2 linked regions of the Stegostoma tigrinum genome follow. The protein of the gene in region 2 binds, or shares a complex with, the protein of the main gene of each other region. Links are inferred from orthologs where the notes say so. Each region holds a gene or a part of one and is shown on either strand. Other genes may lie near its edges.

The links. The genes of interacting proteins can lie anywhere in the genome.
Region 1: taf3 (region 2) and taf6 share a complex: the UniProt entries of both Homo sapiens proteins name them as parts of the TFIID basal transcription factor complex. The link is inferred for Stegostoma tigrinum from reciprocal best matches to the Homo sapiens genes TAF3 and TAF6.

What each region holds. Positions count from the first base shown.
Region 1 is NC_081398.1:4,625,860-4,633,418, reverse strand, and holds the start of taf6 (transcription initiation factor TFIID subunit 6), read right to left. Parts: upstream 3,018-7,559; 5' UTR 2,602-3,017; intron 2,390-2,601; exon of another isoform or gene 1,221-2,389; intron 1,033-1,220; 5' UTR 1,012-1,032; coding exon 856-1,011; intron 1-855. Other genes in the region: cnpy4 (protein canopy 4), read left to right, coding at 5,983-6,079. UniProt on the Homo sapiens protein: The TFIID basal transcription factor complex plays a major role in the initiation of RNA polymerase II (Pol II)-dependent transcription.
Region 2 is NC_081378.1:7,658,549-7,665,894, forward strand, and holds the start of taf3 (transcription initiation factor TFIID subunit 3), read left to right. Parts: upstream 1-4,343; 5' UTR 4,344-4,686; coding exon 4,687-4,852; intron 4,853-7,346. UniProt on the Homo sapiens protein: The TFIID basal transcription factor complex plays a major role in the initiation of RNA polymerase II (Pol II)-dependent transcription.

The DNA.
Region 1 (7,559 bases), on a different chromosome or scaffold from region 2:
GCTCACAGGGACCACACAGAAATATCATGGAGACACATCAGCCTGCACAGAAAGACAGACGTTGTATGGCACATTATTTACCCACACAAGGCAGAGGCAAGACTTAAAGTGAAAAGCACAAGGCTTAAGAGGGGATTTGAGGATAACCTTTTTCACCCAGAGGGTGGTGGGGGTCTGGAATGCACTGCCTGGAGCTGCAAAACCTCACAATATTTCAAAAGGTACAGCAGACTTTCTATAATCCGATACCTATGGCACCAGGAGTATCCTGATTGATCAATTATTGCGGGTAATCAAGAGGTTCACATCAATGTAAAAACAGACACTAAATAACAGAAACGTAACGCCGGGAGTGTACACATCACCGTTATACTTCATTTATAGCTTAAATTAACTTAACTAATCACATGACCTCGCCTTCTCACTCATGCACCCAACTGACTTTGCAGACATCACAGTATTTGAGGACAAACTGACTCAAAATTGAATTAACTGTTGATATTTCATGTGGCCATTCGATTGGACATGTATGTTTACATTAAGGTAAATAACTATTAAAAACTAATAATTAGACAATAAACTTTATAATATTTGAAGTACACAAGTTTTGCTGGTTTATTTAGTACCTAGTCACAAGATGCTGGTTAAAAATACAGCTTGCTGTACTTGGAAGAGCACTTGACAACATCCAAGACTATGGGCCTAGCGTGGGAAAGCGGGGCCAGTATAGGTCACAGGGTGCTTTTGGTAGTACAGACACAAAGGGTCTCCTCCGTGTTGTACAATTCTACAGCTGACTGTAAACAAGGCGAAAACACGTGCGCACACACACAAGGAACAGTCGGGGAGGTTTACCTGTGCCAGCTCTTTGATCCTATAGCTGACCTCCTCAGTCAAGCTTTGGCACGTTTCCTCGGAGAGCTGGGAAATCCCTATGGACTCAGCGATCACCTTCATTGACTCGGTGGGAAGCAGCGTATTGCTGATCTTCACTTTTTTCTCATCGGCCATGCTTACCTCCCATCATACACCCTACGGAAAACAACCGAATGGAAGGAAAAAATTAATCCAGATGCACTTCGGGGCAAACCAACAGATCCAAACCGTGCAGCAGGAGACCTTTCTCATGCCCTCGTAGCGTTCCTATAACCCAAAGAGTGGCAGCTGATACTATAGCTCTGACATTTTTGCACTAGTTCCACCCAAAACGATCAGCTAACCTGTGTGGAGTATGTTTAAACACTTCTGGGGGAGGAAGATGAATGATGATCAGCTCTCCTCCTGTCTCGACCCGCCAATTGAGAAGCCCTGCAGGCTCTCGTTTCCGGCACCCACTTTGAACCGGCATCCCTCGCTTTTGTACAGTCCAGGGGGCAGGACAAAATGAATAAAGAATTATTTGGTTATATGGGCGCTGCTGGCAAAGCCAGGATTTATGGTGCCACCTCTATTGGCAGTTCAATCAAACGTCTTGCTAGACAATTTCAGTTAGGAGTCAGCCACTTCGCCGTGGGCCTGGAGTCACATGTAGGCCAGACCGGCTAGGGACGCCAGATTTTCTCCCCTGAACAACAGTGAACCAGACGGGTTTTGTGGCCTAAAAATGGTGCTCAGAAGAAACACCTTTCACCCGCACCGTCGATGGAAACCCCCAAATCTTTAAACGAGCTCTCAATTCTCCTACACAAAAAGGGGGGGGGGGGATATAATTTCAGCATCCACCACCCTCTGCTGCAATAAACTCATCTACACTCCAAGGAGTAATGATTCAAAGTTTCACCATAAGACCGCTGTCAAAGATTAGACAATACGTGGACCCCTCCAGGAATGCAGATAGGTAGGGATTATTCACGGTTACCTCCGTATCACTTTGCCCAGATCCCCTCTCCCCATGGGATGATTAGCTTGGAAGTTTCGGGGCGGCGGGGGGGGAGAAAAGAGTTGGGGGTTCGGAGAAAGAGAATAGACGTTAACTCCATTGCTTTCTCCACAGTCACTGCCAGGCCCTGCTGAGCTTCTCCAGCAATTTGTTTGTTTGTCGATTTCCAGAGTCTGCAGCATTTTGTGTGTGTGTGTGTGTATATATGCGTGTGTGTATATATGTATATATATATATATATGCGTGTGTGTATATATATATGCGTGTGTGTATATATATGTGTGTATGTATGTGTATACGTGTCTGTATATACATGCGTATATACATGTGCGTGCATATACATGCGTGTGCGTATATATATGTGTGTATATATGTGTATGTATATACATGTGCGTGTATGTATATACGTGTGTGTGTGTATACGTGTGTCTTTTTAATTATTATAATACTGTTGGAGGACGGAACGTGGCACGGGAGGAGGGACAGTTGGATGGAAAGGGAGACGGATCTCCACGGTGGAGAGAAGGGGATCTCGATGCAGTGTGAAGGGGGGATTGGGGATCCCAGCGGGGGGGGGGGGGGTGGGGGGGGAAGGAAAACGACCTTGAGGGAGGGAGGGATATCATTGGTGGGGTTAGGGCGAGGAGGGGGGAGCTTGAGTGAGTAGGATGTTGTTGCTGATGGTCTGGGTCATAAGCTCCCCGTCCCTCCCTCTCACTCACCCAGTGGATCTGCTGCTGCTGGGGCTGGGGCTGGGGCTGAGGGGGGGAGCAGCAGGCCCCCCCTCCCTCTCTACCCTAACACACACTTGTTTGGGTCCCTCCGTCCCCCTCCCCTTCTCCCTCCGTGTCTCTCAGGCTCTGACCCCGCCACCAGGCGCCATCTTGGTCGTGTCCTCCCGAGTCCCGGCTCCAGGCGGCGCCCCGCGGGCGCGCTCGCTCTCTCTCCCTCTCTCTCTCTCTCTCTCTCTCCCTCCCCCCCGGGGTCCGGGCCGATCTAACTCTCGCTCTGTATCTCCCGCTCCCCCCGTGCGGCTGAGGCCAGCCTCCGGCTCTCTCTCCCTCTCCGTCCCGGGATCCTCAGGACCAGGCCTGGTCCAGCGACCACGTGACACCGCCGGTGCCGACCTGCCCTCCCATTGGCTGAGGTGCCACGTGACTGGCCGCCCACCCGCTCTTCCCGCTGCTACGTCGCCGATTGGCTCAGGCGCGCCCCTGACGTCGCATACCCCCTCGCCCGCGATCCCTTTGCCGATTGGCCGATTCTCCGCCACCCCCGCACACGTGATGCTTCTTATACCATCGACGCGCGCGGCTTCTCCTCACTCCCGCTCCGGATGCGGAGAGCGAGACTTTGGTGGTGTTACAATTTTTCAACGTTTAGATTTAATATAGTGCACCTTGGCTACTCGTATCTGCAAGTGGAGGCTCCTGGCACGCTGACTTCATTTGCACTCCTCATACTGAAACATGCATTAAATACTAACTATGAAAAAAACCGCGGATGCTGTAAATCAGGAACAAAAACAAAGTTGCTAGAAAAGCTCAGCTGGTCTGGCAGCATCTGTGGAAGAAACAAATAGGAGAGTTAACGTTTCAGGTCCAGCAACCCTTCCTCAGAACTCCATCCTAACCGCTCCCCTCCCATGGTGAAATATTCCAATCCTGTATGGTCCCATAATTCGTTTACTCTCGCAGTTGGAATGCTGATGAGGCCATTCAGCCCTTCCATGCATGTTCTGACACTCACAACAATCATATATATACATATAGAACATAACAGCACAGTACAGGCCCTTCGGCCCTCGATGTTGTGCCGACCTGTCATACCGATCTCAAGCCCATCTAACCTACAATACTCCACGTACGTCCATATGCTTATCCAATGATGACTTCAATGTACCTAAAGTTGGCGAATCTACTACCGTTGCAGGCAAAGCGTTCCATTCCCTTACTACTCTGAGTAAAGAAACTACCTCTAACATCGATCCTATATCTTTCACCCCTCAATTTAAAGCTATGCCCCCTTGTGCTCGCCGTCACCATCCTAGGAAAAAGGCTCTCCCTATCCACCCTATCTAACCCTCTGATTATTTTATATGTTTCAATTAAGTCACCTCTCAACCTTCTTCTCTCTAATGAAAACAGCCTCAAGTCCTTCAGCCTTTCCTTGTAAGACATTCCCTCCATACCAGGCAACATCCTAGTAAATCTCCTCTGCACCCTTTCCAAAGCTTCCACATCCTTCTTATAATGCGGTGACCAGAACTGTACGCAATACTCCAAGCGCGGAGATTATGAGGTCACAATAGGAAAGTGGAACTCAGGCCACAATCATGGATGATCTCAACTCCACTTTCCTGCCCTGCTCACCCGTTACTTATTAAAAATCCGTCACACTCCTCAAATTAGCCATTAGCCCACATGGGATGTTGTAAAATCCTGACAGCATGGAAACGCACTATTCATTACAGAGATAGTAGCTGGATGAACACGGCAGGCCAAGCAGCATCAGAGGAGCAGGAAAGCTTTCCAAAGAAGGGTCTTGACCCAAAACATCAAACTTTCCTGCTCCTCTGATGCCGCTTGGCCAGCTGCGTTCATCTGGCTTCACATCGTGTTATCACACACTATTCGTGCCTGTTGAGTCCACATCGACCGTCTGCAAGTACCGCTATCCAGACCCATCCTGCTGCCCTATCCATGTAACCCTGCATTTCCCATGGCTAATCCACCGAGGATAGCCTGCACTTCCCTGGACATTACAGGGCAATTTAGCATGGCATTTGCTTGTGGAATTCATTGCCGCAGAGTGCAGTGGAGGCCGGGACGTTGGATGCCTTCAAGGCAGAGATCGACAAATTCTTGATCTCAAAAGGAATCAAGGGCTATGTGGAGAGTGCAGGGAAGTGGTGTTGAAATGCCCATCAGCCTTGATTTAAATGGCAGAGTGGACGTGATGGGCCGAATGGCCTTACTTCCACTCCTATGTCTTATGGCCAACCCACCCTAGTCTGCTAATTTTTGGACATAGGAGGAAACTCCTCATACATGACATTATCAGAGTGTGAAATCAAACCAGGGTCTCTACGGCTGTGATACAGCAGCGCTAACCACTGAGCCACCATGCTGCCTGTCTCAAAGAAGGGTGCAGAGGGGTGCCCAGGGCAGTCTCCAGGCTGGGGAAGCAGCTAGAAACCTAGCTAAGGGGGTCCCGGCTGAACCTCATTGGCCATTACAAGAAATAATTGAATTTAGCCCAATATTCTGTGCTAGATACCAGCCATTCACCCAACTAAGCTAACAGACAGCACCAAGTTAATAGGATCATGGCAAATGTTGGCATAAGGATTGGGACAGTCAGCTGTGATCATTATGAATGTCAGTGCAGGCTCTTGTTTCTTTACCAAGGCCACAAAGAATGATGAACGCTGGATGGAGCCAGTTTTCTATAGCGCCTTATCGATCTGCTCAGAGATAGCTTCACCCTTCTCTGCAGTGGCCAACAAACGCCACTTCAGGGTCTGGACATAGCGATACTGCTACCACCGTCACGAGGCGGGAGGTTTAAATTGGAGCAGCAGCCAATGGGAGCTTGGGTGGGGCGACTGGGCGGTGCTTATCCCGACACGTGGCCGTGTTCGGGGCGTGGAAGGCGGCGTGATTGGCTGTGGCCTCGAAGGCCCCGTTTATGTTTACCCCTCTGAATTGCCGAAGTGGTGGCGTCCCACGTGGGGTCTGACAACACTTAGGGCGGGGATATCATGAAGGGGCTCGGCATGCGGAAGGAGGTCGCGCCTGACTGGTTGGTACCGTTGTCACGTGCACCGGGGCATCAGCGCGACTGGCCGAATGGGCCGGGTCACCACGTGGGCCGTGAACACTATGATTGGCTGAAAGTTTGGAGGGGGGGGAATCGAGGCCGAAACGAAAGGCTACTGGGCGAAATCCCACGTGGGTGGTGGGAGTTTCTCTGCGATAGGCTGGCGTCGTGGCAACGTCCGCACATGCGTCTGTTTGATTGGCCGGTGCGGGCGTCACGTGGGGGGGCGGGCTCGTGTGATTGGCTGCCGCCTGCCAACTCGCGCCGGCACGGGGAAGGTGATGTTGCGGCTGTCGTTCTTGCTCTTTATTCCGCTGCTCGCTGATAGCGCGGCAGCGGAGGAGGAAGAAGGGGATAGGCTGCCCACGAAGTGCGAAGGTAAAGCGGAGGGAAAAGTGGACGGACATCTCAGGCCCCGCGCATCGGCTCCTCCGGGCGCCACGGAGGACAGCCCCCATGTGTTTTGGGGGGGGGGGAGGAACCACGGCGGGAGGTGGGGGTTAATAAGGACCTACCTGGTCGCCCATGGCAACCAGGTATCCAAGATGGCGGCGGCCCACGGCGGGGAGAGACTGGAGTCCAATGAGCAGCTGGTGTCTCCCTTTAACGTCTCCCAGCCTTGTATGGGATGGGTATGCCACCTTATTCCCGGCTTTCCAAAGTAAAATTATGCCCCTCTTCTGTGGGAGAAAGAAACTACGACGTAGAGGGTGGCACTAGTTGATCTGCAGTTGCAGTGGGCTGGCACAGCCATGATGGGCTGAATGTCCTGGCCTTCTCTTGTTTATTCTCTGTTGGGAATTGACGGTGTGTAAAATTACAACATTTAAAAGGCATCTGGAGGGTACGTGCTTAGGAAAGGCTGAGAGCGATATGGGCCAAATGCTGCCACATGGGAGTAGATTAATTAATAGAAGATAATAAAATGTGAGGCTGGATGAACACAGCAGGCCCAGCAGCATCTCAGGAGCACAAAAGCTGACGTTTCGGGCCTAGACCCTTCATCAGAGAGGGGGATGGGGTGAGGGTTCTGGAATAAATAGGGAGAGAGGGGGAGGCGGACCGAAGATGGAGAGAAAATAAGATAGGTGGAGAGGAGAGTATAGGTAGGGAGGGGATAGGTCAGTCCAGGGAAGACGGACAGGTCAAGGAGGTGGGATGTGGAGGTAGGTGGGAAATGGAGGTGCGGTTTGGGGTGGGAGGAAGGGATGGGTGAGAGGGAGAACAGGTTAGGGAGGCAGAGACAGGTTGGACTGGTTTTGGGATGCAGTGGGGGTAGGGGAAGAGCTGGGCCTGTTGTGTGGTGCAGTGGGTGGAGGGGAAGAACTGGGCTGGTTTTGGGATGCAGTGGGGGGAGGGGACGGACTGGGCTGGTTTTGGGATGTGGTGGGGGAAGGGGAGATTTTGAAGCTGGTGAAGTCCACATTGATACCATTGGGCTGCAGGGTTCCCAAGCGGAATATGAGTTGCTGTTCCTGCAACCTTCGGGTGGCATCATTGTGGCACTGCAGGAGGCCCAGGATGGACATGTCATCTAAAGAATGGGAGGGGGAGTGGAAATGGTTCACGACTGGGAGGTGCAGTTTTTATTGCGAACCGAGCGGAGGTGTTCTGCAAAGCGGTCCCCAAGCCTCCGCTTGGTTTCCCCAATGTAGAGAAAGCCACACCGGATAAAATGGATACAGTATACCACATTGGCAGATGTGCAGGTGAACCTCTGCTTAATATGGAAAGTCACCATGGGGCCTGGGATAGGGGTGAGGGAGGAGGTGTGGGGACAAGTGTAGCATTTCCTGCGGTTGCAGGGGAAGGTGCCGGGTGTGGTGGGGTTGGAGGGCAGTGTGGAACGAACAAGGGA
Region 2 (7,346 bases):
CCATCTCCCCCCGCCCCCGCCCCCGCCCCCCATCTCCCCCCACCCCCGCCCCCCATCTCCCCCCGCCCCCGCCGCCCATCTCCCCCCGCCCCCGCCCCCGCCGCCCATCTCCCCCCGCCCCCGCCGCCCATCTCCCCCCGCCCCCGCCCCCGCCGCCCATCTCCCCCCGCCCCGCCGCCCATCTCCCCCCGCCCCGCCGCCCATCTCCCCCCGCCCCGCCGCCCATCTCCCCCCACCCGCGCCGCCCATCTCCCCCCACCCCCGCCCCCGCCGCCCATCTCCCCCCACCCCCGCCGCCCATCCCCCCCCACCCCCGCCGCCCATCCCCCCCCTCCCCCGCCGCCCATCTCCCCCCACCCCCGCCCCCGCCGCCCATCTCCCCCCACCCCCGCCGCCCATCCCCCCCCACCCCCGCCGCCCATCCCCCCCCTCCCCCGCCGCCACCTCCCCCCACCCCCGCCCCCGCCGCCCATCTCCCCCCACCCCCGCCGCCCATCTCCCCCCACCCCCGCCGCCACCCCCGCCGCCCATCTCCCCCCACCCCCGCCCCCCATCTCCCCCCACCCCCGCCCCCCATCTCCCCCCACCCCCTCCGCCCATCTCCCCCCACCCCCGCCGCCCATCTTCCCCCACCCCCACCCCCGCCGCCACCCGCCACCCATCTCCCCCCACCCCCACCCCGGCGGCCCATCTCCCCCCACCCCCACCCCGGCGGCCCATCTCCCCCCACCCCCACCCCCACCCCGGCGGCCCATCTCCCCCCACCCCCACCCCCACCCCGGCGGCCCATCTCCCCCCACCCCCACCCCCACCCCGGCGGCCCATCTCCCCCCACCCCCACCCCGGCGGCCCATCTCCCCCCACCCCGGCGGCCCATCTCCCCCCACCCCCACCCCGGCCGCCCATCTCCCCCTCTTCCCGCCCCCCCCCCGGCCGCCCATCTCCCCCTCTTCCCGCCCCCCCCCGGCCGCCCATCTCCCCCCCCCCCCCCGGCCGCCCATCTCCCCCCCCGCCCCCCCCCGGCCGCCCATCTCCCCCCCCCCCCCGGCCGCCCATCTCCCCCTCTTCCCGCCCGCCCATCTCCCCCTCTTCCCGCCCCCCCCCCCCGGCCGCCCATCTCCCCCTCTTCCCGCCCCCCCCCCCCCCCGGCCGCCCATCTCCCCCTCTTCCCGCCCCCCCCCCCCGGCCGCCCATCTCCCCGCCCCCCCATCTCCCCGCCCCCCCCCCCGGCCGCCCATCTCCCCCTCTTCCCGCCCCCCCCCCCCCGGCCGCCCATCTCCCCCTCTTCCCGCCCCCCCCCCCGGCCGCCCATCTCCCCGCCCCCCCCCCCCGGCCGCCCATCTCCCCCTCTTCCCGCCCCCCCCCCCCGGCCGCCCATCTCCCCCTCTTCCCGCCCCCCCCCCCGGCCGCCCATCTCCCCGCCCCCGCCCCCCATCTCCCCCCACCCCCGCCCCCCATCTCCCCCCACCCCCGCCCCCCATCTCCCCCCTCCCCCGCCCCCACCCCCCATCACCCCCCACCCCCGCCCCCGCCCCCGCCCCCCATCACCCCCCACCCCCGCCGCCCATCTCCCCCCACCCCCGCCCCCGCCGCCCATCTCCCCCCGCCCCCGCCGCCCATCTCCCCCCGCCGCCCCCCGCCCATCTCCCACCGCCCCCCCCGCCCATCTCCCACCGCCCCCCCCGCCCATCTCCCCCCACCCCCCCCGCCGCCCATCTCCCCCCGCCCCCCCCGCCGCCCATCTCCCCCCGCCGCCGCCCATCTCCCCCCGCCCCCGTCCCCCATCTCCCCCCGCCCCCGCCCATCTCCCCCCGCCCCCGTCCCCCATCTCCCCCCGCCCCCGCCCCCCATCTCCCCCCGCCCCCGCCCCCGCCCCCCATCTCCCCCCACCCCCGCCCCCCATCTCCCCCCGCCCCCGCCGCCCATCTCCCCCCGCCCCCGCCGCCCATCTCCCCCCGCCCCGCCGCCCATCTCCCCCCGCCCCGCCGCCCATCTCCCCCCGCCCCGCCGCCCATCTCCCCCCACCCGCGCCGCCCATCTCCCCCCACCCCCGCCCCCGCCGCCCATCTCCCCCCACCCCCGCCGCCCATCCCCCCCCACCCCCGCCGCCCATCCCCCCCCTCCCCCGCCGCCCATCTCCCCCCACCCCCGCCCCCGCCGCCCATCTCCCCCCACCCCCGCCGCCCATCCCCCCCCACCCCCGCCGCCCATCCCCCCCCCTCCCCGCCGCCACCTCCCCCCACCCCCGCCCCCGCCGCCCATCTCCCCCCGCCCCGCCGCCCATCTCCCCCCGCCCCGCCGCCCATCTCCCCCCGCCCCGCCGCCCATCTCCCCCCACCCGCGCCGCCCATCTCCCCCCACCCCCGCCCCCGCCGCCCATCTCCCCCCACCCCCGCCGCCCATCCCCCCCCACCCCCGCCGCCCATCCCCCCCCTCCCCCGCCGCCCATCTCCCCCCACCCCCGCCCCCGCCGCCCATCTCCCCCACCCCCGCCGCCCATCCCCCCCCACCCCCGCCGCCCATCCCCCCCCTCCCCCGCCGCCACCTCCCCCCACCCCCGCCCCCGCCGCCCATCTCCCCCCACCCCCGCCGCCCATCTCCCCCCACCCCCGCCGCCACCCCCGCCGCCCATCTCCCCCCACCCCCGCCCCCCATCTCCCCCCACCCCCGCCCCCCATCTCCCCCCACCCCCTCCGCCCATCTCCCCCCACCCCCGCCGCCCATCTTCCCCCACCCCCACCCCCGCCGCCACCCGCCACCCATCTCCCCCCACCCCCACCCCGGCGGCCCATCTCCCCCCACCCCCACCCCGGCGGCCCATCTCCCCCCACCCCCACCCCCACCCCGGCGGCCCATCTCCCCCCACCCCCACCCCCACCCCGGCGGCCCATCTCCCCCCACCCCCACCCCGGCGGCCCATCTCCCCCCACCCCGGCGGCCCATCTCCCCCCACCCCCACCCCGGCCGCCCATCTCCCCCTCTTCCCGCCCCCCCCCGGCCGCCCATCTCCCCCTCTTCCCGCCCCCCCCCGGCCGCCCATCTCCCCGCCCCCCCCGGCCGCCCATCTCCCCCCCGCCCCCCCCCGGCCGCCCATCTCCCCCCCCCCCCCGGCCGCCCATCTCCCCCTCTTCCCGCCCGCCCATCTCCCCCTCTTCCCGCCCCCCCCCCCCGGCCGCCCATCTCCCCCTCTTCCCGCCCCCCCCCCCCCCCCGGCCGCCCATCTCCCCCTCTTCCCGCCCCCCCCCCCCGGCCGCCCATCTCCCCGCCCCCCCATCTCCCCGCCCCCCCCCCGGCCGCCCATCTCCCCCTCTTCCCGCCCCCCCCCCCGGCCGCCCATCTCCCCCTCTTCCCGCCCCCCCCCCCCGGCCGCCCATCTCCCCGCCCCCCCCCCCCCGGCCGCCCATCTCCCCGCCCCCCCCCCCCGGCCGCCCATCTCCCCCTCTCCCCGCCCCCCCCCCCCGGCCGCCCATCTCCCCCTCTTCCCGCCCCCCCCCCCCCCCGCCCCCCCATCTCCCCCTCTTCCCGCCCCCCCCCCCCCGCCCCCCCGCCCCCCCCCCGGCCGCCCATCTCCCCCTCTTCCCGCCCCCCGCCCCCTCTTCCCGCCCCCCCCCGCCCGCCCGCCCATCTCCCCCTCTTCCCGCCCCCCCCCCCGCCCGCCCGCCCATCTCCCCCTCTTCCCGCCCCCCGCCCCCCCCGCCCCCCCCCCCCGGCCGCCCATCTCCCCCTCTTCCCGCCCCCCGCCCCCCCCCGGCCGCCCATCTCCCCCTCTTCCCGCCCCCCCCCCCCGCCCCCCCCCGCCCGCCCATCTCCCCCTCTTCCCGCCCCCCCCCCCCCCCCGGCCGCCCATCTCCCCCTCTTCCCGCCCCCCCCCCCCCCGCCCCCCCATCTCCCCCTCTTCCCGCCCCGCCCCCGCCCGCCCGCCCGCCCGCCCGCCCGCCCGCCCCCCCCCCCCTCTCCCCCTCTTCCCGCCCCCCCCCCCCCTCTCCCCCTCTTCCCGCCCCCCCCCCCCCTCTCCCCCTCTTCCCGCCCCCCCCGCCGCCCATCTCCCCCTCTTCCCGCCCCCCCCCCCCCGGCCGCCCATCTCCCCCCCCCCCCCCCCCCCCCGGCCGCCCATCTCCCCCCCCCCCCCCCCCCCCGGCCGCCCATCTCCCCCCCCCCCCCCCCCCCCCCCCGGCCGCCCATCTCCCCCCCCCCCCCCCCCCCCCCCGGCCGCCCATCTCCCCCCCCCCCCCCCCCCCCGGCCGCCCATCTCCCCCTCTTCCCCGCAAACCGCTTCCTTTCCCCGCCCCTGCGCGGTGATGGCAATTTATTCTAAATCGCCGTCGCCCGGGCAACCACAGTGACAGGCCTGACGAGCCGATGCGGCTGCCTCGATCGTTCGAGCTGCCGGCGTTCGATGGGTCGTGTCCGAGAGTCCAAGGAGCCGGCGGGCGTCGGGGGCACAACATGGCGGCTCGGGAGTGAGGGGCCGAGCGGCGGCGGCGGCGGCTCCGGGAGCAGTGCTGTCAGTTGGCTGGGCCGGGGAGTGATGGTGGTGATATGAAGGAGGGAGGGAGGGAGAGAGAGAGAGAGACGGAGTCCCAGAATAAGGCCATGCCGACCCGCCGCGCTTGAAGGACAGAGTTGGTGGGGGGGGGGGCCGGTTGGGTATTAGCTGTTTTATTTTAACAGTATTTTGAGGCCGGGATGTGCGACGCTTACGGCAGGGCCTTGCTGCGGGTGGCGGTGGCTCAGATCTGCCAGGCTCTGGGATGGGACTCGGTGCAGGTCACGGCCTGCGACATCCTCACCGACGTGCTCAACAGGTACATCGAGCAGCTGACCCGGGGCTGCCATCGTTACAGCGAGCTGTGTGAGTACCTGAGACCCTGTGATCTCCATCCATCGGGCACAGACACAACCTCACTCATTACAGCACACACAGTCTTCACCCAAACAGCCTGTCTCTGAACAGCCAGCCCGCGTTCTACACTTGTAGGCCTCTAGCTCCCTGGACTTCAGAAGATGGAGAGGCGGTCCAGGCGAAAACATATTGTTCCCAAAGGGGTACCTTGACAGGTTGGGTGCTGAGATGACTTTTCCCCACGCCCTCTGGTTGTTCGCCCTCCCCCTTCAGATTCCCTGCAGCCCCAAATATCGGCTGTGTCTTAGGGTCTGGAGGAGGGTTCACCGGGAAAGGTTTGAGAATCTTTGGAATTCTCTTCCCCCTCCCACACAGCCAGGGATGCTCTGTCAATTGAAGGCTGACATTAATGGATCTTTCGAGTATTACGGGATATTGGGATAGTGTGGGAGGACACAGGCCAGAAAGGAAATCAGCCCAGATCATCCTGAATAATGGAGTTGGCTCGAAGGGCCAAGTGGCCTGTTTCAGTCTCTCTTTCTAACATTTTCACCAAGCCTGGATGTTCCTGTTTGTAGCGCTTGTTGTTTACAATTGACAAGCTTCATGGATTTTGAGATTTCAGCTGATACCTCCAATCTGACTGAGCACGTTATTATCAGGAAAAGCTCGGCAGCTCTGGCAGCATCTGTGGAGGAGAAAACAGAGTTAACATTTCGGGTCCAGTGACCCTTAGAACCGTTCTGAGGAAGAGTCACTGGACCCACAACGTTAACTTTTTTTTTCCTACAGATGTTGCCAGACCTGCTGAGCTTTTCCAGCAGCTTTGTTTTTGTTTCTGATTTAGAGCATCTGCAGTTTTTTAAAAAATATGTTATTTTTTAGTGTTAGCAGCTGAACATCCCTGTAAAGTAAACATTGATTAATACTAACTTAATTTTTTTGTCTTCGGCATTGCCATTTAAGTGAAGTGGAGTTTAAATGATGGAGTACAAAATAAGCAGTAAGCTTCCACTGTTTTGAGCACTTAGTACCTGCCAAAAGCTTCCTTTATTTCCTTGACCAATAGTGTACATTGCTTGATATCCAAGATGGCCTTGAATTGTTTGTACTTTTACTTTCATTATTTCACTTTTGAATGACTCCTACTGTTGAAATGTAGACTAGCCTAGAAGTAGTTGCTGCCAGTCCTATTTGGTCAGAAGGGTTCTGAAGAAGGGTCACCAGACCTAAAATTTTAACGCTTTTCTCCTCCACAGATGCCACCAGACCTGCTGAGCTTTTCCAGCAACTTTGTTTTTTGTTCCTATTTGGTCAGATCCTGTCTTATGTTAAAGTCAGCCTTCCCTCAGTTCATAACTTTTACTTCTGGGCCATCTTTATCATTTTTCACAACAACCTTAAATTTCACTGAGGTATGGTCACTATCACCAAAGTGCTCTGCTACTCACACGTGCTTGGATATTCTCCCTAAAATTAAGTTGAGAACTGCCCGCTTTTAAAAAATATCCTGGTACATTTTAAGAATTCTGTTCCCTCTAAGCCTTTCACACTTTGTCTATCGCAGGTAATATAGGAAAGCTTGAAATTGCCTTTTACTGTGCCCTATTATTTTACACTTCTTGAGATTTAGCCGATATATGTATTCTTTTGGTAGTCCTTTACTGTTTGAGGGTGTATAGTACACTCCCAGAAATGTGATTTCCCTTCTTTAAGTTCTGCCCATGTGGTCTTATTTGAGGAACCTTCTAAGATATCATCCCTCCTTATTACAGTAATGACAAGTAATTGACTCCTTGATTAGTGTTATGACTACTCTTATGCTCTCAACTAGCCTGACGATTCTATACTCCAGAATATTGAGCTGTCTGTCCTGCCCCCCTCACAACCATACCTCAGTGTTAAGAACGAGAGCATATTTCTATATATTAATCAATCATCCTCACCTCACCTGCCTTATTTGCAAAATTCATTGCATTAAAATAAATGCCATCCAGCCTTGTGCTCCTTTGTGCCTTAACTTTACTATATATGTGTGTGTGTCTTACAGACTGGATTTTTCCTTTGTATTTGACTGTATATCACCCACTGGGCAATTTACAATCCCCAGCCACTCATTCACCTACCCACCACACCACACAGATATCGGTCCAGTTTCTGGGTCCGGTGGAAGCCATTGGACTAGTACAGGTCCCACCTTCCCTGGAAATAGACCCACTCATCGCGGAATCTAAAGATTCTAGACTTGCACCAATTCTTTTAGCCACCCATTTAACGGTGAGATCTGCCTATTCCTATGCTCACTAACACGTGGAACCAGATGTAATCCAGCGGTTGCAACCATTAAGGACCTGTTTGTCAATCTATAACGTAGCTACCTAGATTGTTGTTGTAGAACTTCATCCCTCTTTTTACCTGTCGTTCGTATCTATATAAACTTCAACTTCTGACTGTCACCTTCTCCCTTCAGATTCCATCCAGCCATTCAGTGACCTCCTTGATC